Linked DNA regions of Callithrix jacchus. The protein of the gene in region 1 binds, or shares a complex with, the protein of each later gene. Links are inferred from orthologs where the notes say so. Each region holds a gene or a part of one and is shown in the gene's direction. Other genes may lie near its edges. The genes, in order: SFN, NOTCH4, AMOT, WWTR1, PIN1, SNAI1 and SHROOM3.

Region 1 (3,170 bases):
GCTTGAACTGGGAGGGGTGGAGGTTGCAGGGAGCCAAGATTTTGCCACCGCACTCCAGCCTGGGCGACAGAGCGAGACTCCTTCTCAAAAAAAAAGAGAAGGAACAGGGAAACTTCTGAGACAGGCTGGGGGAGGCATCACGTAGCTGGGATTGCTGCCCCATAAAACAGAATGATATGTGTCACTGCCACCTACCTTCCTCAGTCCTCTCCCTCCCCAGGTTGCTAGCGTCCCCCCTGGGGGATCAAACTGGACTGCTTCCCAGCCTCAGACAAGAGGGCAGTCTGAGTCAGGCAGGAAAGTGGGACAGCTGGGGAGCTGGACCCCACCCTCTGGAAGCCCCGCTGGTACCTGATGGCATATGGCTTGGAGAGGGCAGGTGACCTGGCATGGAGGGCCAGAGGGTAAGTCCTCAAACAAGTGGCAACAGGCCACCAACTTGAAAGGGAAAATTGTGTAGTGATGGGAAATGTGTTCAACAAACCTACTGGGTGACTAATTACAAAGGCTGGGCTGGAGCGTCAGAGGCTGCTTGTTAAACACTTTATTAAGTGGCACTCCGAAAGCTGCCACCTGTGCATTCTGGGAGCTCAGAGGGGACCCATCTGGGGGATGGAACTGTCTTCAGGTAGACTGAGGAAGCAGCCTGGATCTCATTTCCAAACACAGCCTGGAGCTCATAGGTCAGAGGCCTCATGGGAGAAAATCTAAAGGAGGTAGGGTGCAGAAAAGAGTTTCAGGGAATTGGTGGCTATGTGACTTTGAGCAAATCTCACCCCTCTCTGAAACTTAGTGTACCCATCTCTATGGTCCTGTGTATGTCACAGAGACATGGAGGGGATTAAAGTTGATCATGAATATAAAAGTGCTTGAGAAACTGTATAGCCCTACCTATACATGAATTATTCTCCCCTGAACCAAGCGGGGGAAGTTACCTCTCCGGATTAGGAACCCCATCCTCCTGAACCTTTATGAGCTCTATCAAGGCTGAAGCAGCCAGGGGCTAAAGCCATCCTTAGCCCCTGGAAGGGCACTGTGAAAGAGGATCTGATATGAGAAGCCAGGCAGCTTCCTGATGTGGGCAGTCATGTAATGCCAGTCCTGAACAAGAGGGGGCAGCGTGGAGCCCAGAAAGGCACCTGTGCAGGTGGGGCCAACGCCCAGATTTCTCCTGCTGACTGTCCTGATGACTCACTCCCACATCCCAACCCTTTTACCTTTCATGCAGAGCCGGAAAGGGTGTGGGGAGGAGAGGAGAGGGAGGCAGGTCTTGGGCCCTGGTCCTGCCCCCTGCTCCTCCCCACCCTTCTCAGGGCCTGGCCACCCAGCCAAAAGGCAGGCCGAAAGCAGGAGAGGCACAGAGTCCGGGATTGGTCCCAGGCAGCAGTTACCCGCCGCCCTCCTGTCTGTTCCCAGAGCCATGGAGAGAGCCAGTCTGATCCAGAAGGCCAAGCTGGCAGAGCAGGCCGAACGCTATGAGGACATGGCAGCCTTCATGAAGGGCGCCGTGGAGAAGGGCGAGGAGCTCTCCTGCGAAGAGCGAAACCTGCTCTCTGTGGCCTACAAGAACGTGGTGGGTGGCCAGAGGGCTGCCTGGAGGGTCCTGTCCAGCATTGAGCAGAAAAGCAATGAGGAGGGCTCGGAGGAGAAGGGCCCCGAGGTGCATGAGTACCGAGAGAAGGTGGAGACTGAGCTCCGGGGCGTGTGCGACACTGTGCTGGGCCTGCTGGACAGACACCTCATCCAGGAGTCTGGGGACGCCGAGAGCCGGGTCTTCTACCTGAAGATGAAGGGCGACTACTACCGCTACCTGGCTGAGGTGGCCACCGGTGACGACAAGAAGCGCATCATTGACTCGGCCCGGTCAGCCTACCAGGAGGCCATGGACATCAGCAAGAAGGAGATGCCGCCCACCAACCCCATCCGCCTGGGCCTGGCCCTGAACTTTTCCGTCTTCCACTACGAGATCGCCAACAGCCCCGAGGAGGCCATCTCGCTGGCCAAGACCACCTTCGACGAGGCCATGGCTGATCTGCACACCCTCAGCGAGGACTCCTACAAAGACAGCACCCTCATCATGCAGCTGCTGCGAGACAACCTGACCCTGTGGACGGCTGACAACGCCGGGGAAGAGGGGGGCGAGGCGCCCCAGGAGCCCCAGAGCTGAGTGTTGCCCGCCACCAGCCGGCCCTGCCCTGCCCCCTCCAGTACCCCACCCTGCCAAGAGGACTAGTATGGGGTGAGAGGCCCCACCCTTCTCCCCCAGGCGCTGTTCTTGCTCCAAAAGGTTCCATGGAAAGGGACTGGCAGAGCCGAGGCCACCTGGGGCTGGGGATCCCACTCTTCTCGCAGCTGTTGAGCACACCTAATCACTGGTCATGCCCCACCCCTGCTCTCTGCACCCGCTTCCTGCCGACCCCACGACCAGGCTACTTCTCCCCGATCTTGCCTCCCTCCTGCCCCTGCTGCCTGATGTTAGGAATTGAGGAGTAAGTGTCCCGCCTTGTGCCTGAGAACTGCACAGTGGTAGGGGCTAGAGATTGTGTGTGTGTGTGTGTGTGTGTGTGTGTGTGTGTGCGTGCGCTTGCCAGTGCAAGATCGAGATTGAGGGAAAGCATGTCGGCTGGGTGTGATCATGTTTCCTCTCAATAAAGTTCCCCTGTAACACTCCTCCTGTCTCTTCCAGTTCTTGGCGATGGGCTGGGAGTGGGACTGGAATCTGATTTAGAGACCCTGAACTTGGACCTGAGTTAGGACCCTGACCTCCCTGGGTGCTCAGTGACCCGCACGCAAGACTTTGAGTCCAGGTGAGGCCGGGGTCCAGCTCTGTCCTTCAGGGAGGCCCCACACTGGACGGGCCCGGAAGGGGCCGGTGAACCCACAGGAGGCGCCAAGGCTCCTCTGCCGGGCTGAGGGGAGGTGAGTGGGAGCCGCGAGGTTGACGAGCTCAGGTGGGGCGGGGCAGGAAACAGTGAAGTCTCCGGCGTGAGATCTAAGGACAGCGCCGCAGTAGCGAGCGGCACTGAGCACCCGATTTGCAAGCAGGTCACAGTCTCATCACGGGCTCCGATCTCAGCGGAGGGGAATACCATCTGAGTGAGGCAGAGGTATAGCGCAACCCTAAAACCCCAGATCTCAGGAGAGAGTCGTGTCCCACAGAGTTCGGAGAT
Region 2 (3,500 bases), on another chromosome or scaffold:
GCTGCCCCGACTTAGCAACCAAAGCTCTAGAGGCCACAAAATATGGGGAATTCTCTCTAGAGTGAAGAAAAGAGTCAGGTTTTAGGGAGGTCCTGAGTCCCCCTCTCCTCACTCCACAGTCCAGCCTATGACCAGTACTGCCATGATCACTTCCACAACGGACACTGTGAGAAAGGCTGCAACACTGCAGCATGTGGCTGGGATGGAGGTGACTGCAGGCCAGAAGATGGGGACCCAGAGTGGGGGCCTTCCCTGGCCCTGCTGGTGGTGCTGAGCCCCCCAGCCCTAGACCAGCAACTGTTTGCCCTGGCCCGGAGGCTGTCCCTGACTCTGAGGGTGGGGCTCTGGGTAAGGAAGGATCGTGATGGCAGGGACATGGTGTACCCCTATCCTGGGGCCCGAGCTGAAGAGGCGCTAGGAGGAACTCGAGACCCCTCCAATCAGGAGAGAGCAGTCCCTCAAATGCAGCCCCTGGGCAAGGAGACCGATTCTCTCAGTGCTGGGTAAGAAGCTGGGTGGAGGGAAGGGCCAGACACCAGTTTTGATTAAGAGGGCAGAGGGAGGGATGGGAGCCAGGGACCAACACAGGGGTCTCTGAGGTGCCTGTCCTATAGGTTCGTGGTGGTAATGGGAGTGGATTTATCCCGCTGTGGCCCTGACCACCCGGCATCCCGCTGTCCCTGGGACCCTGGGCTTCTACTCCGCTTCCTTGCTGCGATGGCTGCAGTGGGAGCCCTGGAGCCCCTGCTGCCTGGACCCCTGCTGGCTGCCCACTCTCATGCAGGTACCAGTAGGTGACCCCTTGCCACCTTCTCTGACGTTTGTTCCCAGGCCAGCTCTCATGCTAGCAACAGGCAATGGAGGCTGAATGAAACAGGATAGCTGAGACTGAAAATGTTCTTTGTAGCCAGGTGCAGTTGTGCGTTCCTGTAGTCCCAGCTACTCGGGAGACTGAGGTTGGAGGATCTCTTGAGTCCGGGAGTTCTGGGCTGTAGTGCGCTAAGCTGATCGGGTGTCCACACTAAGTTTGGCATCAATATGGTGACCTCCCAGGAGCGGGGGGCCACCAGGTTGCCTAAGGAGGGGTGAACCGGCCCAGGTTGGAAACAGAGCAGGTCAAAATACCCGTGCTGATCAGTAGTGGGATCACGCCTGTGAATAGCCATTGCACTCCAGCCTGGGCAACATAGCGAGACCCCATCTCTAAAAAAATAAAAATAAAAGAAAGAAAATGTTCTTTGTAGGGACTTACGTTCCCTAACCTCACTTTCTCTAACTGAATCACCTGCTGTCCCATTTATTTTACAGTCTAAGTACATTATCCTAATCTCTGTTATAGCCCTCCAACAAAGGGCTGCTTTATCTTCTCTACCAGACTGGGAATATCTAATCGTCTTGGTATCAGATAACTCATACTACATGAAAGAATAATAGCTGTTATTATCATACTTATTCTGTGCCTTACTCCAAGCATTTTACATCGTTACCTCATTTAATCCTCCCCACAACCCCATTAGGGACATACTACTAGTTGAGTATCCCTTATCTGAAATGCTTAGGAGCAAAAGTGTTTCAGATTTGGGACTTGTTTATTTTGGAATATTTGCATTACAGTTACCAGTTCAGCATCCCTAATACAATATCCAGATGGACAATGAGCGTTTCCTTTGAGCGTCATGTTGGTGCTCTGAAAGTTTCAGACTTTGGAACATTTCAAATTTGGGATTGGGATTATGGATATTCAACCTGTTTTTCTGTGTGTTTGTTTGTTGAGACAGTTTCACTCTATCACCCACGCTGGAGAACAGTGACGCCATCTCGGCTCACTGCAACCTCCACCTCCTGGGTTTAAGTGATTCTCATGCCTCAGACTCCCAAGTAGCTGGAATTACAGGGGCATGCCACCACACCCTGCTAATTTTTCTTGTATTTTCAGTCTAGATAGGGTTTTGCCACTTTGGCCAGGCTAGTCTTGAACTCCTGGCCTCATACGACCCACCTACCTCAGCCCCCCCAAAGTGCTGGGATTACAGGCATGAGCCACTATGCCCAGCCTCAACCTATATTATCATCCCCATTTTGCAGATAAGGAAATCGAGGCAAAGACAGGCTACCAAACTTGTTAAAAGGTCTCCCAATAGTAATCAGTCTCACCAGGAGTGGCCTCTCTTTGTGACTCTGTCTCTTCCACCAGCGAACCCTGCCAACCAGCTTCCCTGGCCTGTGCTGTGCTCCCCAGTTGCTGGGGTGCTTCTCCTGGCCCTAGGGGCTCTTCTCGTCCTCCAGCTCATCCGGCGTCGACGCCGAGAGCATGGAGCTCTCTGGCTGCCCCCCGGGTTCACTCGACAGCCTCGGACTCAGTCAGCTCCCCACCGACGCCGGCCCCCACTCGGCGAGGACAGCATTGGTCTCAAGTGAGAATGAGGAGAAACCTAGGTTCAGGAAGGGGAGTCTCTCCTATGTCGAGATTTACAATCAGAAGAGCTAAGAAATACTACCGCGGAAGTCAAAAATAGGGGAAGGACACAGGGGTGGGAAGCCTGCTGGAAATCTTGGAGACCTTGATGGTCATAATTCCATGTAACTTCTACCCACCCATTCCCTTCCAGGGCGCTGAAGCCAGAGGCAGAAGTTGATGAGGATGGAGTTGTGATGTGCTCAGGCCCTGAAGAGGGAGAGGAGGTGGGCCAGGTGAAAGGGCTGGGGCAAGAATGGTCTGGAGGTGATGGAAGGGCAAATCAACCTTCACTGATCCTTGCTCTTACCCCAAGGCTGAAGAAACAGGCCCACCCTCCAAGTGCCAGCTCTGGCCGCTGAGTGGTGGCTGTGGGGAGCTCCCTCAGGCAGCCATGCTAACTCCTCCCCAGGAATCCGAGATGGAAGCCCCTGACCTGGACACCCGTGGACCTGGTATGTGAGTCAACCCAGACCAAGACAAAAAAAAAAAGGCCTTCGACCCTATTAGAATCAGAGTCCTTTAATATCAGAACTAGAGGAACTAATTTTAGACTGAGTGCTTTAGAACAGTGATTCTCAAAGTGTGGTCCTCAGACAGCTGAATCAGCATCACCTGGGGTCCACTATAGAGCTACTGACTCAGGAATTCAAGATGTTAGGCAATCTGCTTCAATAAGCTCTTCCGGTGAATCTGATCCAGACTCATTTAAGAAAACCAGTGCCCTGGAATGTCAGATAATTAAGCTGCAGGTTCCTTTTACAGAAGAAACTCAAGTCAGAGAAAAGTAGAAAAGTCACTTGATTAAAGCCTCATAAAGTGCCAGAACTTAGCTTCCTGGCACCTTAGGTTTTGATTCTCTCTGAGCTTCCATGATGTCCCCTCCCCCTTGTTGGGAACTTTAGATTGACCCGTGACTCATGTCTTGCCCACAGATGGGGTGACAACCCTGATGTCAGCAGTTTGCTGTGGCGAAGTAGAGTCCAGGACCTTCCAAGGGGCATGGTTGGGATGTCCTGAGCCCTGGGAACCTCTGCTGGACGGA
Region 3 (4,109 bases), on another chromosome or scaffold:
GTCATACAATTAGCTAGTAAGTGCCAGAGCCCCAAATGAATTCTTCTTTTGGTTCTCAATTCTATGTTATTTTGCTACCCCTACACTGTTTCTTTGTGCCTTCGTTTTCCCAGATGTAAAATGGTAGATTTTCCGTGTCCCAGTATACTGTTCTCAACCCTCTGTTTTTAACCAATATCAGTTTTTTTCTTCCACAGCCAGGAAATGTGAACGCCACACTGGCACTTCATGTACTTTTCCCCCTCCGGATTTAATGAATTAAGGGGAAAGAAAAGTTACCTATTCGTGGAGGGCTGGACAGTGCTATAAACATAAAGGCGTACCAGAGTCGGCCGACACACTGCTGCACTCTTTTATGAGACTGAGAAAGCGTCTCATCTTTCTCTTCCCAGCGGTAGCTGGGGTAGAACATAGAGCTACACAATAGCCTCTTGTTTAGTTTTATTAATTTTGAGGACTGGTGGGACAAAAGGATCAGACTGGCGACTCCCGGGCCCAATCGCAAACGTATACTAGGCCAGGCCCGGCCAACCAGTAGCGGCAAAAGAATGGTGGGCGGGACTTACGCTTCAGGGGCCCGCTCCGCCCAGGCCGCATCTAACAGCCCGCCCAGGGGCGGAGCCTCTGCAGAGCCCCGCCCACGACCCCCTCCTCCCTCGCCCCGCAGCTTCTGCAGCCCGCCATCGGGAGGCGGGGGAAACTCCCGGGGTGGGGGAGCGGAGGAAGAAAGGAGGGTGTCTCGCAGAGCTGTGACCTGGGTGGGGGCCTGCTAGTAATAGGAAGCGAGAGGGGAAGGAAAACGAAGGAGCACTGCTCCTTCCTTCATTATTTTAAGCAGGCTTTGGTGGAAGCTGCTTTTCAGCATTTCTATTATTTGCTTTTCTTCCTCCCGCTGTGGGGCGGAGAGCTGCACTGGCTCTCCCACGCGAGTATGCCGCGCTGTTGCCGTAGGTTATTATTGTAGTCTTTTGCAAAACCCTTTCCTTCTCCCCAGCCAGTCCCCGCGCAGACTCTCACGGCTACGGCAACCGAGTCGTGCCCCTCTAGTGGAAAGGCGAGAGCGAGGGTCCCCAACTTTCGCCCGAGCTCTCGGACCCCGCGGTTTAATTGTTTGAAACTTCCCCGCCCCCCGGCCCCGCCTCTCTTCCGCGCTCTCCTCGCTCCTCACTTCCAGGGTCCAGGCAAGCTCCCGCCCTTCTTTCCCCGCCCTCTACTCCGCCTTCCTCCCCAGTCCACCCGCCCTGCCGCTCCGGGGCGGTCCTAGCCGCTCACCGCAAGAAGAAAAGCCACCCGTTCGTCCCCCTCCCCTACCTCCCATCCTTTGCCCAGGAGCTGCCTTGGCAGTCACGCCCCTTCCTTCCGAGGAGCTTTCTGGCTGCCTAAACTGGTAGACCCCCTGAATTACTCCTCCGTCTCCGCTCTCTTTCGCCTCCTCTTCTCTTAGTTCTCTCCGCCTCCCCCTCCAACTACCACCACCTCCAGTCAATCTCGCCTCCGACCATCCGCTGCTCCACCCTCTGGCCCGGTATCCTGCCTGTCCACTGCCACCAAGGAGAGCCCGGACGGAGCAGCGAAGAGGGGAGCAGCCAGGAGTTGGGGCTTCCCCCCTGCCCATCCCTGGCCGCTGGCCCGGGACCGAAGCCACTTGAGCGAGCAGAGAGTCGTCACCTTGTCTTCGTTGCCTTCAGGGGTAGGAGACGTGTGGTTACTTTTTGCGGGGAACTGGGGCAGGAATCCATGGTGGCATGAACTTGGTCGTGCCCTCGGCGTGAGTGAATCGATCTAGGCGCGTGTGAGAATGCCCGTGTATTCTGCTGTCTTTGCAGCTGGCCATGAGTTTTTCAGGATGTGCAGCAAGTTAAATCGGTTAGAGTGTGCGCTGCTTTCCCGTCCTGCTTAAGTGAGGAGATGCTAGTGGGTACCACTACTAGATGGTATTTTTACTTCCTTGCCTCCTGGGGTTCTTCTGGGTCTCTAGGAAATTAATCACATTGAGGAGCTAAAGACCCGAGGGAAGCTGAAATCTACTTTTAGCCTAGCATGCAAGTCAGTGCTTATCTCAGATAACTAGATAGGTTTCTCCTAAGTGCTTAGGCTTGGGGTGTGGACTCACACTCCCTGAGGCGGGAGAAGGAGGGGTAGGACCGTGAATTCTTGAAGTTTTAAAGTCTGCGTAATCTAAAACATAAGGCTACTTTTTGAAATGTGTGGTGGTGGTGGTGCTTGTGGTGGTGGTGATAGTGGTCATGAGGAGGGAATTGCCCCTATCTACTTTAGAAGATCCAAAGATGTTAGTAAATAGTTTTGGGGGATCAGGCAGGTGTCTTGAGGGTCCAAGCCTGGGCCACTGTACGTTGGTGCTTCAACAGTAAGATGGACTTCGTGGATATGTGAAAATCAAGAGAAAGAAAAGTGGGAGTAAAAATACGCCTTTATAATAGACTATGAGCAGTTCCTGGTAAATTTCCACTAATAATAATATAATAATGTTCATAAAGTGACTAAATAAGATTAAATGAGCAAGGAAAGAGGAAGTTGGTGAGAAACAGCATTTTCAATCTCTAGCGTATGTTTTAGAAAGAATTTTTCAACAACCTAGGATGTTTAGTTCAGTTCTCCTCCCTCCGTGGAAGTTGGGAGGCAGTTTAAAACTTTTATGAATATAACCCTCTTCTCCCATTCAGAGAGGAAGATAATTAGTCACCATAATCTTCAATGATGAAGGGCTAAGGGTATTTAAGTCTCCTTGAGCTAGGCTTTGTGAAAAGTTCTTTCTCAGGCCAGCCTTTGTGAAGCCTTCTCAGACCTTTCAGCACCCTCATTTAGTAGCTAAGAATAGTTTGAAATGCCATTTTGGATGTGGGATACATTTTCATCCATCTCCCACCTATCTTCAATTGGACAAGTGCATCAAACTTGTAAGTCGTGGTGTTCAAAGACTTATTTCTGTGATGTCCTGAACTCATTGCTTATTTGGGAACACATTATTTACATACATTTAAAAATAGCTTTGGTTGATTTTAATGAGGGAAAGGAAGGTAGGAAGGTAGAGAAGGAACGTTACATGGCGACAGTTTTAAAGGCTATCCTGTTTCAGATCAGCTGGGAGGGAAAAGCTGGCCTAGCCAAACTACATTTTATAACTGGCCTGGGACACTTTAACAGCCAGGTGGTTGTAGAATAGTTGCATCTATTTACAGATGATAACTCAGGTTCCAGCTATTCTGTATGGGTTTATCCGGTGTCATCGACAGACACTTTCTGGCACGACATCATACTTCATTTTAAATTACTTCTTTCTTTGGAAAAGTTTGTGGCTTTGTAAAATTGAAAGTGTTTTTTTCTACCTTCATGGTGTAGATGTGAAGTAAACCTCGTTGTATGTGGAGTCACTTTTACATGAAATTTGTGGATCTGTTTAGCTATTTAAAAGATTTTAGAAAGGGAATTTTAATAATTAATAGTCAATTCAATTTTGGATTTAGAAATTAAAATCTCATTTCCAGTTTATGAAGTTGGATTTATTAGACTAATTCCCAACTAGGACATTTGTAGAGTTGCTTTCTCTGAGGTTTTGTAAAGACCACATCAGACTCTAGAATGCTTTAAGAATAGCCTAATCAGAAGGCAGGGGGATGGATACTATGACCTTGAGGTCCCATTGAGTGCCAGAATTCTAAGTGGGTACATCTGCTTCTGTGCCTCTCCTAAGAGCCCTCTCCCAGGGCCTGCGCCTTCTTTAAAAGGGTGTCTTTGTAATTAAGCAGCCCTTCTTCCCCATCCCCCTTTCTTCCTTTGATCCAGCTTTTTAAGGCCTTTTTTCCATTTGGAGACAAGAGGAGTTTCTCACACTTTCCTGTTCCCCTCTTAACGTTTCTTGTCCTTTACCTCAGAAAAGTCCCCTGAGGTTCTCAAGATGGTTAGAAGTTTTGTTTTGTTTGGGGCGTGGGGGTGGAGTGGGGGAGTTGTTACCAGTGAGGAGGAATAGAGGATATATTCCCGCTTGGGAAATGCTTGCGACCAGGTAGCCTCCTCCATGGAGACTGAGCATTTGGAATGCATGAGAACAGTCTATTCTTGGGGACTGTCTGGTAGAAATTGTCCTTTGC
Region 4 (3,500 bases), on another chromosome or scaffold:
ATTGGAGCACACCTCCAATTCCCCAGATAACAGGGGAAGTGGCTCACTTTGGTGGGTGTAGTTCTGTTTTGGGTAGGGATACAGCCATTCAAGGGAGTGGCCCCAAAATTCCACCTTTTCCAAGGCAAAACTATTAGTGGCCTTGTCCTTTCCTTAAACTTTCTCCTTCAAGGCAACTCCAGATTTTAACTTTGACTTTATTTTACCCTGTAAAAATATTAAGGCACAATACGTCAACTTACAGAACATGCAGTTCTGTTTTATTTAACAAGCACTTACGTAACCAGCTAGGTGCTATGCGAAGTGCTTTACATTGTCTTATTTGATTTTCTTTATAAACTATTTGAATCAGATGGGGTGGCGTAAGGGCTTCCTGCAATTTGGCTTACCTCGCCATTCCCCCCACGCCCCTGTCGCCCCGCACCTTTTCCCCTCAGTGGAGAGAGAACCAGAGAAAAGGAATTGAGCTGCTCTGAAGGGCAAGGCCTCCTCCCACTTCCCAGAGCTGTTTCACCAGGCTTGACCTTCTTCCCTTAGCTAGAGGCAAGGGGTCTCCACCCCTCGCCCAGATCTAGTCGGTGGGAAGGTGGGTGGCTTTTTCCAGGTCATTGGCGCACCCTCACTACTCCCAGCCACCTGCTCGGGTTCTATCCCTGCTCCAGGCTCCCTGGAGGGCGGCAGGGACATTCCAATCCTCCCACAACCCTCACGGATGTTGCGGGGGAGGGGGGCGCAATTGCTCTTCTCTTCCAGCACCCAGCTTTGACCCGATTTCTTCTCAATCCCTAGAGGCCTGAGTCACCCCCGTAGAGGAAATTAAGGATTGATGAATGGTTTGAAAGTTGTTTGTTTACGACGCAGCCGTTGGCGAAGCCGCATCTCCAGTGACAGAGGCACTTTCTGGGCACCGTCTGTGCTCTAGCAGACAATTGAGAGCCAAGCAGCCAAGATGCCTCCTCGCCAGACCAAATATGGTCACAAGAGCTAAGCAGCCTCCCGTGGAAAGGCTGGCCTTGTTGGTGTCTCCCCGCGCCGGGGCGCACCCAGGCCGGCCCTCGGGCAGAATCGCGGGTCAGTGCAGCGCTCCGGGTGCTGCCGGCCTCGGCGCCCGGCTACAGGGGAGCGCGCAGCGTCCAGGACCGGCCCTTCCCAGGCCTGAGCCCCTCGTCCGCGTGCCCTCCGCCACCCCCGGCCTTGGTTTCGGTCCACAACCCCTTGATGAAACAGGCTTGGGCCACTTTCCCTTTGATCCCGCCCCAAGTCCGTGGTAAACTCAAAGGAATGCAGATGTAGGGCTCCGCGGGAGAGGTCCGCGCAGTCGGGAGGAGTGGGTGGGGGGCACCCGTCTCCTCTTACCCAGTAAAGTACCCATCACGCCCAGGGTTTTCTGGAGCCGGGGTGGGAGGAGGAGGAGGAGGAAGAGGAGGGGCGAGCGGGGGCTTGCCGGCTGGGGACTAGGAGGTCATACATAATTCAATAGCTCAACTTTCGGGCCCGCCTCTTTCCTGGGGGTGGGAGTTTGCTCCAAACTTTGTTTATGGGACAGTCCGGGAGCTGCTGCGGCCGCGCTGTCTGCTTCTCCTGCGCCTCCTTCTCTCCGAGCGCAAGCGCCTGAGGCCAGCTCCGGGGATGTGAGAGCCGAAGCCCCTAGGCTGCCAGGCACCGAGTCTGGTCGGAATTTGTCAGCCTCGCCTCGGCTCCAGCTGCGCAAACTCGGGACTCACCCGAGCGACCCAGGCCCGACGGCAAGTTCGGGCGGGACGGCTGCCGCCGCGCGCTCAGGCTCAGCTTCGCTGCCCGCCCAGGTAGTGCCCGCTGGAGCTCGCGCGCTCTCCCAGCACCGCTCCAGGACTCCAGGCTCCTCGGGCTTCCGGAGTCGAGACGTCGTGGAGTTGGTTCGGGCTGAACTTCTTTCGGGGGGCTGCCTGTCCTGGAAAGCTGCGACCTTTGCTTTGCCATTCTGCGGCTCCGCAAGCCGCGAGTGCAGTTACTCCCTCCATCCCCCGCCCTTCCTTCTCCTCCAGGCAACTTCTTTGCTTCAAGAAAGTTGCATAATTCTCGAGGCCAGGAGGGACCCCTCCCCCATCCTGCTGGTCTTACCGCTGAGTGTCTGGGATCTCCAGGCGGGCAATTATCTGTCTCCTCGTTTCCTTTTCCTTCTATTCTTCCTCCCACCATCTCGCTCTCTCACCCCCTAACCCGCTTACCCACTTCCTCCGACTTTAAAGAAAAGGCTAATCTGACCTTCTTTTTGCAGAAGATGAATCCGGCCTCGGCGCCCCCTCCGCTCCCGCCGCCTGGGCAGCAAGTGATCCACGTCACGCAGGACCTAGACACAGACCTCGAAGCCCTCTTCAACTCTGTCATGAACCCGAAGCCTAGCTCGTGGCGGAAGAAAATCCTGCCGGAGTCCTTCTTCAAGGAGCCTGACTCGGGCTCGCACTCGCGCCAGTCCAGCACCGACTCGTCGGGAGGCCACCCGGGGCCTCGGCTGGCCGGCGGTGCCCAGCATGTCCGCTCGCACTCGTCGCCCGCGTCCCTGCAGCTGGGCACCGGCGCGGGCGCTCCGGCTAGCCCCGCGCAGCAGCACGCGCACCTCCGCCAGCAGTCCTACGACGTGACCGACGAGCTGCCGCTGCCCCCGGGCTGGGAGATGACCTTCACCGCCACTGGCCAGAGGTACTTCCTCAAGTAAGTCAGCCTGGATCCGAAGGGGACACCAAGTCACGGTGCCCAACGCACGCGAGTCTTCGTGTGTGTGTATGGGTGTGTGTGTGTGTGTGTGAGAGAGAGAGAGAGAGAGAGAGAAAGAGAGAGAGGGAGAGAGAGAGGGAGAGAGGGAGAGAGGGAGAGATGGTGCGTGTCCTTCACAGATATGGAGAGCTGGAAGCAAGGAATGAGTCTCTGGGTGTTGGAATTGTAAGGGATAAGAAGCAGAAGAGAGTGTGGTGAAGTTCATCCACCATAAAACACACAGGTGACTTTGCCCTGAATCTGCAGGTTGAAGCCGACTCCTATGCACAGACCCTTAGCCTTTTCCCTGGCCACTCTAAGTCAGATAGTCCAGAGCCAGGCCCTTTGGGCTGTGACACCAAGATAAATGAGAGAAAAGCTGCGAGGCTTGGGGAACAGAGGGACTCTTGGTGGAGTAGGTGGTCTGCAGTCTCTATCTTCTTGGGAAAAGCAAGCCGGAAAAGTGAACTGTGGCTGGTAGGCCTTACTGCTCCCAGCTGCATGACATAATGACCACACAGCACAGTGATGTAGTTGTGGGCTGGACAAATCAATTGTGTGGAAATTGTGTCAGGAGTTTTATCACATTAAACTTGTTAACCTTAGATATCATCAAATCACAAGCCTGCTTCGTCACTCTTCTTCCTTTCACATTGTTCCAGCTTGTTGATGTCATGAATTTTACATTAGGTTCAAATTTTCAAATTACACCCCACAGGAAGATATATTCTCAAACACTGGAGGAGATTGTTCCAATTGTGGTACCC
Region 5 (3,500 bases), on another chromosome or scaffold:
TTTTTGAGACAAAGTCTCACTCTATCACCCAGGCTAGAGTGCAGTGGCATGATCTTGGCCCACTGTAGCCTCTGCCTTTTAGATTCAGGCGATTCTCCTGCCTCAGCTTCTCAAATAGCTGGGATTACAGGCATACATCACCATACCCGGCTAACGTTTGTTTGTTTGTTTGAGATGCGGAGTTTCCCTCTTTTTGCCCAGGCTGGAGCGCAGTGACACAATATCAGCTCACTGCAACTTCTGCCTCCTGAGTTGAAGCAATTCTCCTGCTTCAGCCTCCCAGTAGCTGGGATTACAGGCGCCTGCCACCATGCCTGGCTGATTTTTTTGTATTTTTAGTGGAGACAGGGTTTCACTTTCTTGGCTAGGCTGGTCTCAAACTCCTGACCTCAGATGATTAACCCGCCTCAGCCTCCCAAAGTGCTGGTACAGGTAAAAGTCACTGTGCCCGGCCAATGTTTGTATTTTTAGTAGAGATGGGGTTACGCCATGTTGGCCAGGGAGGTCTCAATCTCCTGATCTCAGGTTATTCACCCCACTTTGGCCTCCCGAAGTGCTGGGATTACAGGCAAGAGCCATCGTACTTAGACCTTTTTAAAATGTTAAAACATTATTATTTAGTTATTTCAATGATCCTAAGGTAGGAACTGTTGTCTCCATTTGACAGGTGAGAAAACTGAGGCTCAGGGAAGGTAGATCACATTTGAACCCAGGTTCAGATTTGAACTCAGGCGGTCTGGCTGCTGAGTCCATGCTTGGAGTCACTCCCTCTCCCCTAGCTTCCTCTCTTCCATCACCCTGGGTTATTTTCCTCCTTGAGGTTGTCAGTGATTGAAATTATCCTGTGTTTCGTTTACTTGTTTAGTGCCTGTCTGCTCTTACCTAGAATGTTAACTCTAAGGGCAGTGACTATGTCCTGCCACACTGGCCCATAGCTGAAGAGCCTGTGGCACGTGGTGGACACGCCATGGATTTACTAAATGAAGGCACTACCCCAGGCCAGGCCCTTACCCTGGCTTCTGGCTGTGGGCCTAGGTAGTGTCCTGTGAGCACAGCCCCAGCTGAATTCCTGCCTGCCCTCCCCTCCAGGCCGAGTGTACTACTTCAACCACATCACTAACGCCAGCCAGTGGGAGCGGCCCAGTGGCAACAGCAGCAGTGGTGGCAAAAACGGGCAGGGGGAGCCCGCCAGGGTCCGCTGCTCACACCTGCTGGTGAAGCACAGCCAGTCAAGGCGGCCCTCGTCCTGGCGGCAGGAGAAGATCACCCGGACTAAGGAGGAGGCCCTGGAGCTTATCAACGGTGAGCAGGGCAAGGGCAGGGGCTTGGGAGGAGGTCTTGTTCCAGGTGGGCCTTTGTAGAAGTCACACCAGACCCTTCACCCCAGCTTGCTCAGCTACCAGGAGTGGTGTTGGCCAACACAAAAATGCCAGTACGTGACCCTGACCTTCACAGCAGCCGTTCTCTTTCCCTTCCATCTGGCATTTGAGGGTGAGCCAGGTAAGGGCAGAGGACCCAGCCTGGGGGCTGGCAGACCCCGGTTCAGGTAGTAGTGTGCCTCTGTGAATTCTATGACCTTTGAGGGGGGACTCATGTCACCTCCCCTAGACTTAACTTTCTCTGTAAAATGGGCATCTTCTGAGGACCACTGTGAAAGTTCCAGGGAATAAGGCAATGCATTTTGCACAGTGGACCCTCAGGCTGTGGGAACTGTTGTCAGTAGTAATATCCAATAGGGGACTGAGTCATATACGTAGATAGATCCAGAGAGAGCTGTCAGAAAGGTAGTGACTGCATACAGGGCGTGTGGCTCACGCCTGTAATCCCAGCACTTTGGGAGGTCTTGGAGGGCAGATCACCTGAGGTCAGGCCTGGCCAACATGGCAAAACCCCGTCTCTACTGAAAATATAAAAATGAGCTGGACGTCATTGTGCATGCCTATAATCCCAGCTGCTAGGGAGGCTAAGGCAGCTTCACTTGAAGCTGGGAGGTGGAGGTTGCAGTGAGCTGAGATTGCACCACTCCACTCCAGCCTGGGCAACAGTGAGACTCCATCTCAAAAAAGAAAGAAAGAAAAAAGAAGGGTAGTGAATGCCAGCAGAACTAGTGAGTTAATTCTGACCTAAGGAAGGAAGCTATTCCCTTCTCTGTTCTGTCTTTCTTCTGCAGTCTGGCACTGGGGTGGTAAACTTTGAAGGCCAGATGATAAATATTTTAGGTTTTGTGGGCCATGCAGTCTCTGTCAGTTCTGCTTTGTAACTGGATAGCAGCCATAACCAATATATAACCAAGCACATGGTCATGGCTGTGTGCCAAGAAAACTTTATTATTTACCAAATCAGGCAGGATTTGGCCTGCAGTCTGTCATTTGCAGAACCCTGTCTAAAGCTGTCCAGTTTGGCTGCCACTCCCCACATGTGCTATTTCTGTGTAAATTAATTAAAATAAAGTAGTATTACTGCTCAGATGCAGTGGTTCACACCTGTGATCCCAGCACTTTGGGAGGCCAATACAGGAGGATCACTTGAGCCTGAAAAATACAAAAATTATCTGGACGTGTTGGTACACACCTGTAGTACCAGCTACTCAGGAGACAGGTGAGAGGATTTCTTGAGCCCAGGAGGCAGAGATTGTAGCGAGCTGAGATCGTGCTATCCCGCTCCAGCCAGGGTGACAGAGCAACACCCTCTCTTAAATAAGAATATCAAAAACTGTTTCTCAGTTACACTGGTCATACTTTAGCTGCTGGCCGGCATCTTGGACAGCGGGAATATAAAACATTTCCATTCTTATTAGCTGGGCATGGTGGCGTGTGCCTGTAATCCCCGCTATTCAGGAGGCTGAGGCGGGAGAATTGCCTGAACCCAGGAGGCAGAGGTTGAGGTGAGCCGAGATCGAGCCATTGCACTCCAGCCTGGGTAACAAGAGCGAAACTCCGTCCCCCAAAAACAAACAAACAAAAAAACCAAAAAAATTTCCATTCTTGCAGCAAGTTGTGTCTGACAGCCTTTCTCAGAGTTTCCAGAACCCTCTTGGGCTGTCCCTGCTTCAAACAACCCGTCTCTCAACCATGTCCAGACAGCCTGGGTTCCTATGCAGCTCTGCCAGGTCCTGGCTATGGGATCTTGAGTAAGTTACTTAATATCTCTGGACCTCAATCTTTTTCTCCTTCTTTTGAGACAGGGTCATGCTCTGTCACCCAGGCTGGAGTGCAGTGATCATACCTCGCTGCAGCCTTGACATTCCTGGGGTCAGGTGATCCTCCCACTTCAGCCTTCCAAATAGCTGGGACTGTGGGCTCATAACACCACACCTCGCTAATTTATTTATTTTGTTTTTTTTTTTTGGACAGAGTCTGGCTCTGTCACCCAAGCTAGAGTGCTGTGGTACGATCTTGGCTCACTGCAACCTCCACCTCCCAGGTTCAAGCAATTATCCTGTCTTAGCCTCCTGAGTAGCTGGGATTACAGGCGCCCACCACCATGCCCAGCTAATTTTT
Region 6 (4,114 bases), on another chromosome or scaffold:
GTTGGTTGGGGGGAGGGTGCGTAAAGGTGTTCATGGTCTTCCTTCACAGATGGAAACAGGCATGGCGAGACCTGTGGGGTTTATTTCAGCACCACCCCTGGGCCTGGCATGCCTCCAGGGAAGCTGGGGTAGGGGTGCAGCTGCTCCTCACCTGGGCCCACCACACATACATTCAGTCAGGGTCCCTTAGGAGCCGTGAGAGCCTGTAGACAGGATGGGGATCTTCAAAGGGCTCAGGAGACACACCGGCCTCATCCCAACTCTTTGCCGGCCTACGGGGATCTTTTTCAAGGAAACTCTAACCAGGTACCTCCTCAGCTGAAAATCCTTCGGTGGCTCCCCAGTGCCCTTGAGGCAAAGTCCAGATTCCTCACATCTGACCCCTCCGGGCCTGCCCACCCCACCCCATCCCTGGGAGCTGCTCTCCAGGAGTTACTCGGAAGCAGTTGCCAGTTCTTCCCTCGGGCCTTTCCCCTTGATAATTCTTCACTTCCTCTGGGCAGTCACCCCGACCCCCTGTCAGGTGACCCGCCTCTTAACGGTCGCCGCGTCCCGTCTCTCCCCCACCAAAGCACACTTCCCTTTGCATTGTAATTGTCTGTTTACTTCAGCTGTCTCCCCCATTGGACGGGTAGCTAAACTTCGAGAGAGGCTCTGAGTGTCCTGTCCAGGGCTGTGCCCCGGCCCCAGGTACAGTGCCCCACACGTGCTGGACGCTCCGTAAACACTGGCTAAGGGAAGGAACGGGCGCACTTCGCTAGGCTGCTTTGCAAAAAAGCCATGGCATTTCATGCTGCCAAGAGCCACGTGTAGTGTCCGTTTCCTCGCATCCTCCCCAGCAATATGCATTTCCCTCCTCAATGCCACGCTCTCCAGGCGCCAGCCGGGCGGAGGAAATTTCCGCCCCCTCCCAAGCCCGAGGCGGGGGCGGGCTTCGGAAGGTCAGGTGTCCCGGCCCGCGCGCAGCGCCAGGGGGCGTCAGAAGCGCTCCGACCGTGGGGCGCTGAGCGGGTGGGTGCGAGGGGTCCCGCCTCGCAGGGGCCTAAATGCGCCCGATGTCCCGCCCCGGACAGCCCCAGCACTGGGAACGACCAGCGCTGCGCTCCCGAACCCCGCCTTGCAGGAGCCTCCGCCCGGGCTCCCAGCGCCACGCGGCGCGAGCCGGGTCCGCCCCCGGCGCACCTGCTCGAGGCGTGGCCTTCGGCGGAGACGTGCCTCCGATTGGTGCTGAGGTGACAAAGGGGCGAGGCAGATAAGACCCCTCCCCTGCCGCCCCCTGGAGTATTTAAGGGAGTTGGCGGCGCGGGTGCACTCATTGCGCCGCGGCACGGCCTAAGCGGTGGTTCTCCTGCGCTACTTCTGAGCGACTCGGCGACCCCGGTGCGTTGGCCACCATGCCGCGCTCTTTTCTTGTCAGGAAGCCCTCCGACCCCAATCGGAAGCCTAACTACAGCGAGCTGCAGGACTCTAATCCAGGTGCGTTGGAGGGGTCCCGGGCTCCAGGAGATTTGGGGGAGACAGGCGAAGGCTGCGTGGGGGGCACCTGAAGGAGGCGGCCTGCTTGGGCCAGGATCGATTCGCAGGATGTTTTGTGGAGCATTGAGGGCTCGGGCTCGGGAGACCGGGCAGGTAGGTCTCCAGTCCCAGGGATCTATCTGAGTGGTTTGGGGGGTGCCGTGTAGCGGGCAGGGGTCTTGCGCTTGGGGGGCCTTTGTAGCCTGCGAGAGGCGCAGGAGCTCCCGAGGGGAAGGAGGCCTGTGCCAGGAGGGCCCGCCGGACGCTGCTGGGGAGAGTCCGGAGTCCAGAGTGTTGAGGAGAGGGGTGGAGAGACCAGATGTGTGTGAGGAGGGGGACTGGGGTGGAGTGGTGGCTCGGGGGCTGGGGTAATGGGCTTCTGGCTTCAGGCTGGGGACTTGGGACTCAGGAGACCGAGATCTGGAAATGACCCTCTTCAACTGGGGGTCCTACCTGTGAGAGACTCAGGTTGGGTGACCTGGGCGAGGAGGGCAGGAATTTGGTCTGCCCTATGGATAATTTTATTGATCTAATTATGTGTTGAGAGTCAGCCTCACCCAGCCCCTGGCCAGCGGTGGGCTCTAGTTTGTTGATTGAGTGAATGATTTAATTAACGCCTGACTCTGCTCTTTCTCCCTCAGAGTTTACTTTCCAGCAGCCCTATGACCAGGCCCACCTGCTGGCAGCCATCCCACCTCCGGAGATCCTCAACCCCACGGCCTCGCTGCCAACGCTCATCTGGGACTCTGTCCTGGCCCCCCAAGCCCAGCCAACTGCCTGGGCCTCCCTTCGGGCCCAGGAGAGCCCCAGGGCGGCAGAGCTGACCTCCCTGTCAGATGAGGACAGCGGGAAAGGCTCCCAGCCCCCCAGCCCACCCTCACCGGCTTCTTCGTCCTTCTCTTCCACTTCGGCCTCTTCCTTGGAGGCCGAGGCCTATGCTGTCTTCCCAGGCTTGGTCCAAGTGCCCAAGCAGCTGGCCCAGCTCTCTGAGGCCAAGGATCTCCAGTCTCGAAAGGCCTTCAACTGCAAATACTGCAACAAGGAATACCTCAGCCTGGGTGCCCTGAAGATGCACATCCGAAGCCACACGCTGCCCTGCGTCTGTGGCACCTGTGGGAAGGCCTTCTCTAGGCCCTGGCTGCTGCAAGGCCACGTCCGGACCCACACTGGTAAGTGCCCCTCCTGGCCCGCCCCACTGCTTTCTCTGCCAGCTTTTGTGAATCTGGGCTTACTTTTCTCATTCTCAAAGTTGTAGACACGGAGGCCCCGAGTCTCCTAACTTCTAACTCAAGTTCAGGGGCCCGGCTCTCTGGAAACGTTTGGCAGAAATGTTCCTTCATCAGCTAAGCAGATGGGCAAAGCAGACACCTTTCCAATCCCCTGCAGCCAGCTTCTCAGCCAAATGGGTAGGAGCTGGATATGGGAAAGGTGCCACCAGCACCTTGTGGTGGTGGCCAGGTGCGAAGGGGTCCGCCTGGCCCCACCCTCTCCTGATCCACCCCTCCCTAGCCAGACAGGATGTTGTCAGACCCCCCCCCCACCTGGCTCTGAATCCTGCTTTGAGAACTTTCTCAAAGCTTGGTCTGATGTTTCACTTCTGTGAGCCTCATTTTCCCTATCTTTCAGATGGGCATGAGAACAGCCTATGGGGTTTCTATGCAGGCTAAATGCAGGAATGCGTATGGGAAGCACCTGGCAAAGTGCCTGGTACCTGCTAAATGCTCACAAAAATGCTTCCTTGCCGTTTGCTCGGCTTCCCTGCTGTGTGACTTTGGGCAAGCAACTTAACCTCTCTGAGCCTCAGGGGAGGATTATGATAGGTAAGTTTTAGAGAGTGACTGTGAAGGTTGATAATCACTTTATGCTAATCACTTTGCAGTAATTTATCATACCTGGTGGTTCTCTGGTCTGCTTCCCCACCCCCACTCAGTCCTATCTGGCAGACCAGGAAAGGCATCTTTGGGGCAGACAGCGCAATCATGTCTTGGTGTCTTGAAAATTTACTAAATGCGTAGGAAACTTTCTGGACGTGGAGAAAAGGTAGAACTTTTTAGAACTTGAATGGTGGTGACCACCATGCCCAGAGCTGCTCTGGAGAGTGACGGTTGAGAGAGGAGATTCCAGGGGTTCACCCCGGGCAGGTTCTGCCATTTCCTGACCCAGCACCTGACCTCGGAGTGGTGAGGGTCAGTGCGGTGTCTGGAAGGCCTGGCCTTTTGCAGGCTTTATTGGCATCTTACTCAACTAAGGCTACCCATTTCTCTTCCTTTGTGCACCCTTAGCCCTGATTTTAACATGTAAAGGTCCAACTGCCTGGCCTTCTGGGTGCCTGCCTAGCTCACAGGGCTCTATTTTGGGAGCGTTGAACCCCTCAGGGTGCTGCTCTGCTGTCCCCCCTCCCTTGCCCCCAATCCGGCATTATTTTAATGTAAAGGCACGGCTGGGACACAGAAATGTATCACTGCTGTCCTCATTGACTCCCATTGTGTGCCTTAATGGTGGGCCCAGTGGGTGGGGGCTGGGAGGAGCAGAGCAGGTGCATGGGGCAGCGGTGCCCAGCACCTGTTCCAGTCGCAGCTGCTGGCCCAGTGCATGGCAG
Region 7 (2,611 bases), on another chromosome or scaffold:
GCAGTGGTGGAAGTGGGAATCCTTGTCTGTTTCAGTTCTCAGGGGGAATGCTTTCATCTTTTCCCTGTTCAATATAATGTTGTCTGTGGGTTTGTCTCCTTACTTTGCCTAAAATGTGTGAATGGTTAAGTATAATTTTTTTTTTAATTTAAAAATGTTATGTGTTACCATGTTGGATAGAAAACCACATTAAAGATAATATATGCTACAATATCATAGAAAAGTTTTAGAAACTCTTAGAACATAACATTGCCATCATTGTTGAACAGAATTTCTCTCATTTTATATTCAGAGGCCTGCAAAAGAGAACTGAAAAAGTGGAAACTGACTTCTCTGGAGATGGGAAATATGATGATCCCCTTGTTATTATGGATTAGGGAGAGGTTCTCAAACTTTAGCCACAAAAGAATCATCTGGAAGGCTTGTTAAAACAGGTTTCTGGGCCTCATCTCCAGAGTTTTTGATTCAGGAGGTGGAAGAGGGCATTTTGGGTGATGCCACTGCTGGTCCAGCAACCACACCTTGAGAACCACTGTATTAGTGTAGTCCTCAAGGTACCTTGATGATGATTTTTGAGACAGAGTCTCACTCTGTCACCCAGGCTGGAGTGCAGTGGCACAATCTCCACTCAACTGCAACCTCTGCCTCCCGGGTTCAAGTGATTTTCATGCCCCAGTCTCTTGAGGAGCTGGTATAATAGGCATGCATGACCACACTCAGCTAATTTTTGTATTTTTAGTAGAGACGGGGTTTCCTCATGTTGGTCAGGATGGTTTTGAACTCCTGTCCTCAAGTGATCCACCTGTTCTTGGCCTCCCAAAGTCACCATGCCCAGCTGATGATTGGTTTTTTAAGTCTAGAATCCAAAAGCAATTTTATTCCCAGCCAATTTAAAGTAATACTTCTCAAATTGAAGCTACCCTATGACATTACAAATTAGAGAATGCTGTAATATGCAATATAAAGATAATAAGCTGATTTTCAAACAGTTAGCCTCCTTAGAGTGACAATAGGAATCGAGCATAGATATTTCCCAGTCCTGTCAGAGGTGTCCTTGCAGGGAGTCTGGCTCTTTTCTCCTTTCCCCTGACCTTTGTTGATCTGTCCAATTTGCCCTGGCAGAGCTCTCTCTATGAGAAAAGGAAGATCCTTGCTGGGCAGCACGAGGATGCCCGGGAGCTGAAGGAGAACCTGGATCGCAGGGAGCGGGTGGTGCTGGGCATCCTGGCCAATTACCTTTCTGAGGAGCAGCTCCAGGACTACCAGCACTTCGTGAAAATGAAGTCCACACTCCTCATCGAGCAGCGGAAACTGGACGACAAGATCAAGCTGGGCCAGGAGCAGGTCAAGTGTCTGCTGGAGAGCCTGCCCTCGGATTTCATTCCCAAGGCCGGGGCCCTGGCTCTGCCCCCAGACCTCACGAGTGAGCCCACTCCTACCGGGAGCTGTACTTTCGGTGGTATTTTCCCAACATTACCCTCTCCACTTTAACCTCTTCTAAAATACCCAACCAAAAGATGACTGTTTCTATCAACACTATTTAATCTGAAAAATGTTTCAGTACAAACCACTGTTTGAACTATCTGGGTTATTGGTGTTTGTTCTGGATGAAAGGAAAAAAATTCTCTCCAGGAGGAAGCCTGTTTTTTCCTTCTTGCCCTTCCTGATTGATCTTCTGAGAGCTTGAATGCTGCTGGACACATACCCCTTTCTATTATTACTTTGTAGTAGAAAGTAAGTTAATGAAACAGAACTGATTGGAGGGTGTTTGATCATTTAGTCTTTAACAGGCTGAGGCAACATGGATCCGTGTGTGTCCCCCTCAGGAATGTATCCACAGTGGCCTTCCTTGCTGGTGGGCAGTGTATCCTGATGGCAGGGTACAAGTACCATTAATGAAGGGTCTGCAACATAAAGCCTTAAAAAGACACACACTAAGAAGAAATTGTAAAACCTTGAACATTGTTATTTATATTTTTTAAAATGGAAACGATCATTGTTTGTTGTGCTAACCACTTACTTGATTCTGTTTTGTGGTGGACGTAGATAATTACGTTTGAGCTTTGTATTTTGTGAAAACCTTAATGAAATGAATTCCAAAGATAGTCACATTGAGCGTGAAGACTTTTTTTCTTGCATTCCTGACTTGTCTTATTTTTACAAACATGAGCAGGTATTCTGCACTTCACTGGACAGTATGGGGGAGTCCTCCCCGGCTCTTCTCCTGTGTCACACCTTCCCCAGGAGGAAGGCCTTGTGTACCGTGGTTATTGCATCATTTCCTGGTGCTTCATGTCATTATCACTGGTGGGGAAACAAAGCTAAATTTTATTAACAAAGACAACTCTCAGACCTATGTAATAGGAAGAGGAAGTCCAGAATCCAAGCCAATTCAAAACAGAACCCATGCTGTTCTCCTGAACAAGATTTGGGCTAAATACAGCCTGTTTATTGAGGCTGTTGTTTAATGATGCTTTAAAAAAAAAAAAAAAGTTTTCCTACAATATCAAGCCTGTCAACCACACTTGATTAAAAACTCCCTCCTTAACCTCTGAAGACTGATTTTGCTTTATCGTGTTTCAATAATAACATCTCAGAAGTTACTTTGTAA

The links.
Region 2: the proteins of SFN (region 1) and NOTCH4 are in contact, whole or in part, in a crystal structure (PDB 7OR3), measured with the Homo sapiens proteins. The link is inferred for Callithrix jacchus from reciprocal best matches to the Homo sapiens genes SFN and NOTCH4. Residues at the interface, in NP_006133.1 of Homo sapiens: Lys49, Arg56, Arg60, Lys122, Arg129, Tyr130, Glu133, Gly171, Leu174, Asn175, Val178, Glu182, Leu218, Gln221, Leu222, Asp225, Asn226, Leu229, Trp230; in NP_004548.3 of Homo sapiens: Arg1914, Arg1915, Phe1916, Ser1917, Ala1918, Gly1919, Arg1921.
Region 3: the proteins of SFN (region 1) and AMOT are in contact, whole or in part, in a crystal structure (PDB 7NPB), measured with the Homo sapiens proteins. The link is inferred for Callithrix jacchus from reciprocal best matches to the Homo sapiens genes SFN and AMOT. Residues at the interface, in NP_006133.1 of Homo sapiens: Val46, Lys49, Asn50, Arg56, Arg60, Lys122, Arg129, Tyr130, Gly171, Leu174, Asn175, Val178, Tyr181, Glu182, Asp215, Leu222, Asp225, Asn226, Leu229, Trp230; in NP_001106962.1 of Homo sapiens: Val171, Arg172, Ser173, Leu174, Ser175, Glu176, Arg177, Leu178, Met179.
Region 4: the proteins of SFN (region 1) and WWTR1 are in contact, whole or in part, in a crystal structure (PDB 8R0Z), measured with the Homo sapiens proteins. The link is inferred for Callithrix jacchus from reciprocal best matches to the Homo sapiens genes SFN and WWTR1. Residues at the interface, in NP_006133.1 of Homo sapiens: Cys38, Asn42, Ser45, Val46, Lys49, Arg56, Arg60, Phe119, Lys122, Arg129, Tyr130, Pro167, Ile168, Gly171, Leu174, Asn175, Val178, Tyr181, Glu182, Asp215, Leu218, Ile219, Leu222, Asp225, Asn226, Leu229, Trp230; in NP_001161750.1 of Homo sapiens: Arg86, Ser87, His88, Ser89, Ser90, Pro91, Ala92, Ser93, Leu94, Gln95.
Region 5: the proteins of SFN (region 1) and PIN1 are in contact, whole or in part, in a crystal structure (PDB 7AOG), measured with the Homo sapiens proteins. The link is inferred for Callithrix jacchus from reciprocal best matches to the Homo sapiens genes SFN and PIN1. Residues at the interface, in NP_006133.1 of Homo sapiens: Tyr19, Lys49, Asn50, Arg56, Arg60, Lys122, Asp126, Arg129, Tyr130, Pro167, Gly171, Leu174, Asn175, Val178, Glu182, Ile219, Leu222, Asn226, Leu229, Trp230; in NP_006212.1 of Homo sapiens: Arg68, Arg69, Pro70, Ser71, Ser72, Trp73, Arg74, Glu76.
Region 6: the proteins of SFN (region 1) and SNAI1 are in contact, whole or in part, in a crystal structure (PDB 4QLI), measured with the Homo sapiens proteins. The link is inferred for Callithrix jacchus from reciprocal best matches to the Homo sapiens genes SFN and SNAI1. Residues at the interface, in NP_006133.1 of Homo sapiens: Ser45, Lys49, Asn50, Arg56, Lys122, Asp126, Arg129, Tyr130, Leu174, Val178, Glu182, Ile219, Leu222, Asp225, Asn226, Leu229, Trp230; in NP_005976.2 of Homo sapiens: Ser175, His176, Thr177, Leu178, Pro179, Cys180.
Region 7: the proteins of SFN (region 1) and SHROOM3 are in contact, whole or in part, in a crystal structure (PDB 6FCP), measured with the Homo sapiens proteins. The link is inferred for Callithrix jacchus from reciprocal best matches to the Homo sapiens genes SFN and SHROOM3. Residues at the interface, in NP_006133.1 of Homo sapiens: Ser45, Val46, Lys49, Asn50, Arg56, Lys122, Arg129, Tyr130, Gly171, Leu174, Asn175, Val178, Tyr181, Glu182, Leu222, Asp225, Asn226, Leu229, Trp230; in NP_065910.3 of Homo sapiens: Arg1239, Ser1240, Arg1241, Ser1242, Ser1243, Ala1245, Thr1246.

Annotation. Positions count from the first base shown.
Region 1 is NC_133508.1:63,511,781-63,514,950, forward strand, and holds SFN (14-3-3 protein sigma), read left to right. Parts: upstream 1-1,357; 5' UTR 1,358-1,420; coding exon 1,421-2,167; 3' UTR 2,168-2,670; downstream 2,671-3,170. UniProt on the Homo sapiens protein: Adapter protein implicated in the regulation of a large spectrum of both general and specialized signaling pathways. Binds to a large number of partners, usually by recognition of a phosphoserine or phosphothreonine motif.
Region 2 is NC_133505.1:39,684,691-39,688,190, reverse strand, and holds part of NOTCH4 (neurogenic locus notch homolog protein 4), read left to right. Parts: intron 1-119; coding exon 120-503; intron 504-614; coding exon 615-784; intron 785-2,194; coding exon 2,195-2,414; intron 2,415-2,609; coding exon 2,610-2,691; intron 2,692-2,771; coding exon 2,772-2,910; intron 2,911-3,390; coding exon 3,391-3,500. UniProt on the Homo sapiens protein: Functions as a receptor for membrane-bound ligands Jagged1, Jagged2 and Delta1 to regulate cell-fate determination.
Region 3 is NC_133524.1:109,163,941-109,168,049, reverse strand, and holds the start of AMOT (angiomotin), read left to right. Parts: upstream 1-1,309; 5' UTR 1,310-1,690; intron 1,691-2,789; exon of another isoform or gene 2,790-2,918; intron 2,919-4,109.
Region 4 is NC_133518.1:35,618,970-35,622,469, forward strand, and holds part of WWTR1 (WW domain-containing transcription regulator protein 1), read left to right. Parts: intron 1-1,015; exon of another isoform or gene 1,016-1,267; intron 1,268-1,434; exon of another isoform or gene 1,435-1,461; intron 1,462-1,544; exon of another isoform or gene 1,545-1,895; intron 1,896-2,107; exon of another isoform or gene 2,108-2,108; intron 2,109-2,257; coding exon 2,258-2,691; intron 2,692-3,500. UniProt on the Homo sapiens protein: Transcriptional coactivator which acts as a downstream regulatory target in the Hippo signaling pathway that plays a pivotal role in organ size control and tumor suppression by restricting proliferation and promoting apoptosis.
Region 5 is NC_133523.1:9,032,967-9,036,466, forward strand, and holds part of PIN1 (peptidyl-prolyl cis-trans isomerase NIMA-interacting 1), read left to right. Parts: intron 1-1,089; coding exon 1,090-1,302; intron 1,303-3,500. UniProt on the Homo sapiens protein: Peptidyl-prolyl cis/trans isomerase (PPIase) that binds to and isomerizes specific phosphorylated Ser/Thr-Pro (pSer/Thr-Pro) motifs.
Region 6 is NC_133506.1:45,525,252-45,529,365, forward strand, and holds the start of SNAI1 (zinc finger protein SNAI1), read left to right. Parts: upstream 1-1,314; 5' UTR 1,315-1,394; coding exon 1,395-1,476; intron 1,477-2,156; coding exon 2,157-2,684; intron 2,685-2,764; exon of another isoform or gene 2,765-3,335; intron 3,336-4,114. UniProt on the Homo sapiens protein: Involved in induction of the epithelial to mesenchymal transition (EMT), formation and maintenance of embryonic mesoderm, growth arrest, survival and cell migration.
Region 7 is NC_133504.1:121,266,144-121,268,754, reverse strand, and holds the end of SHROOM3 (protein Shroom3), read left to right. Parts: intron 1-1,122; coding exon 1,123-1,491; 3' UTR 1,492-2,111; downstream 2,112-2,611. UniProt on the Homo sapiens protein: Controls cell shape changes in the neuroepithelium during neural tube closure. Induces apical constriction in epithelial cells by promoting the apical accumulation of F-actin and myosin II, and probably by bundling stress fibers.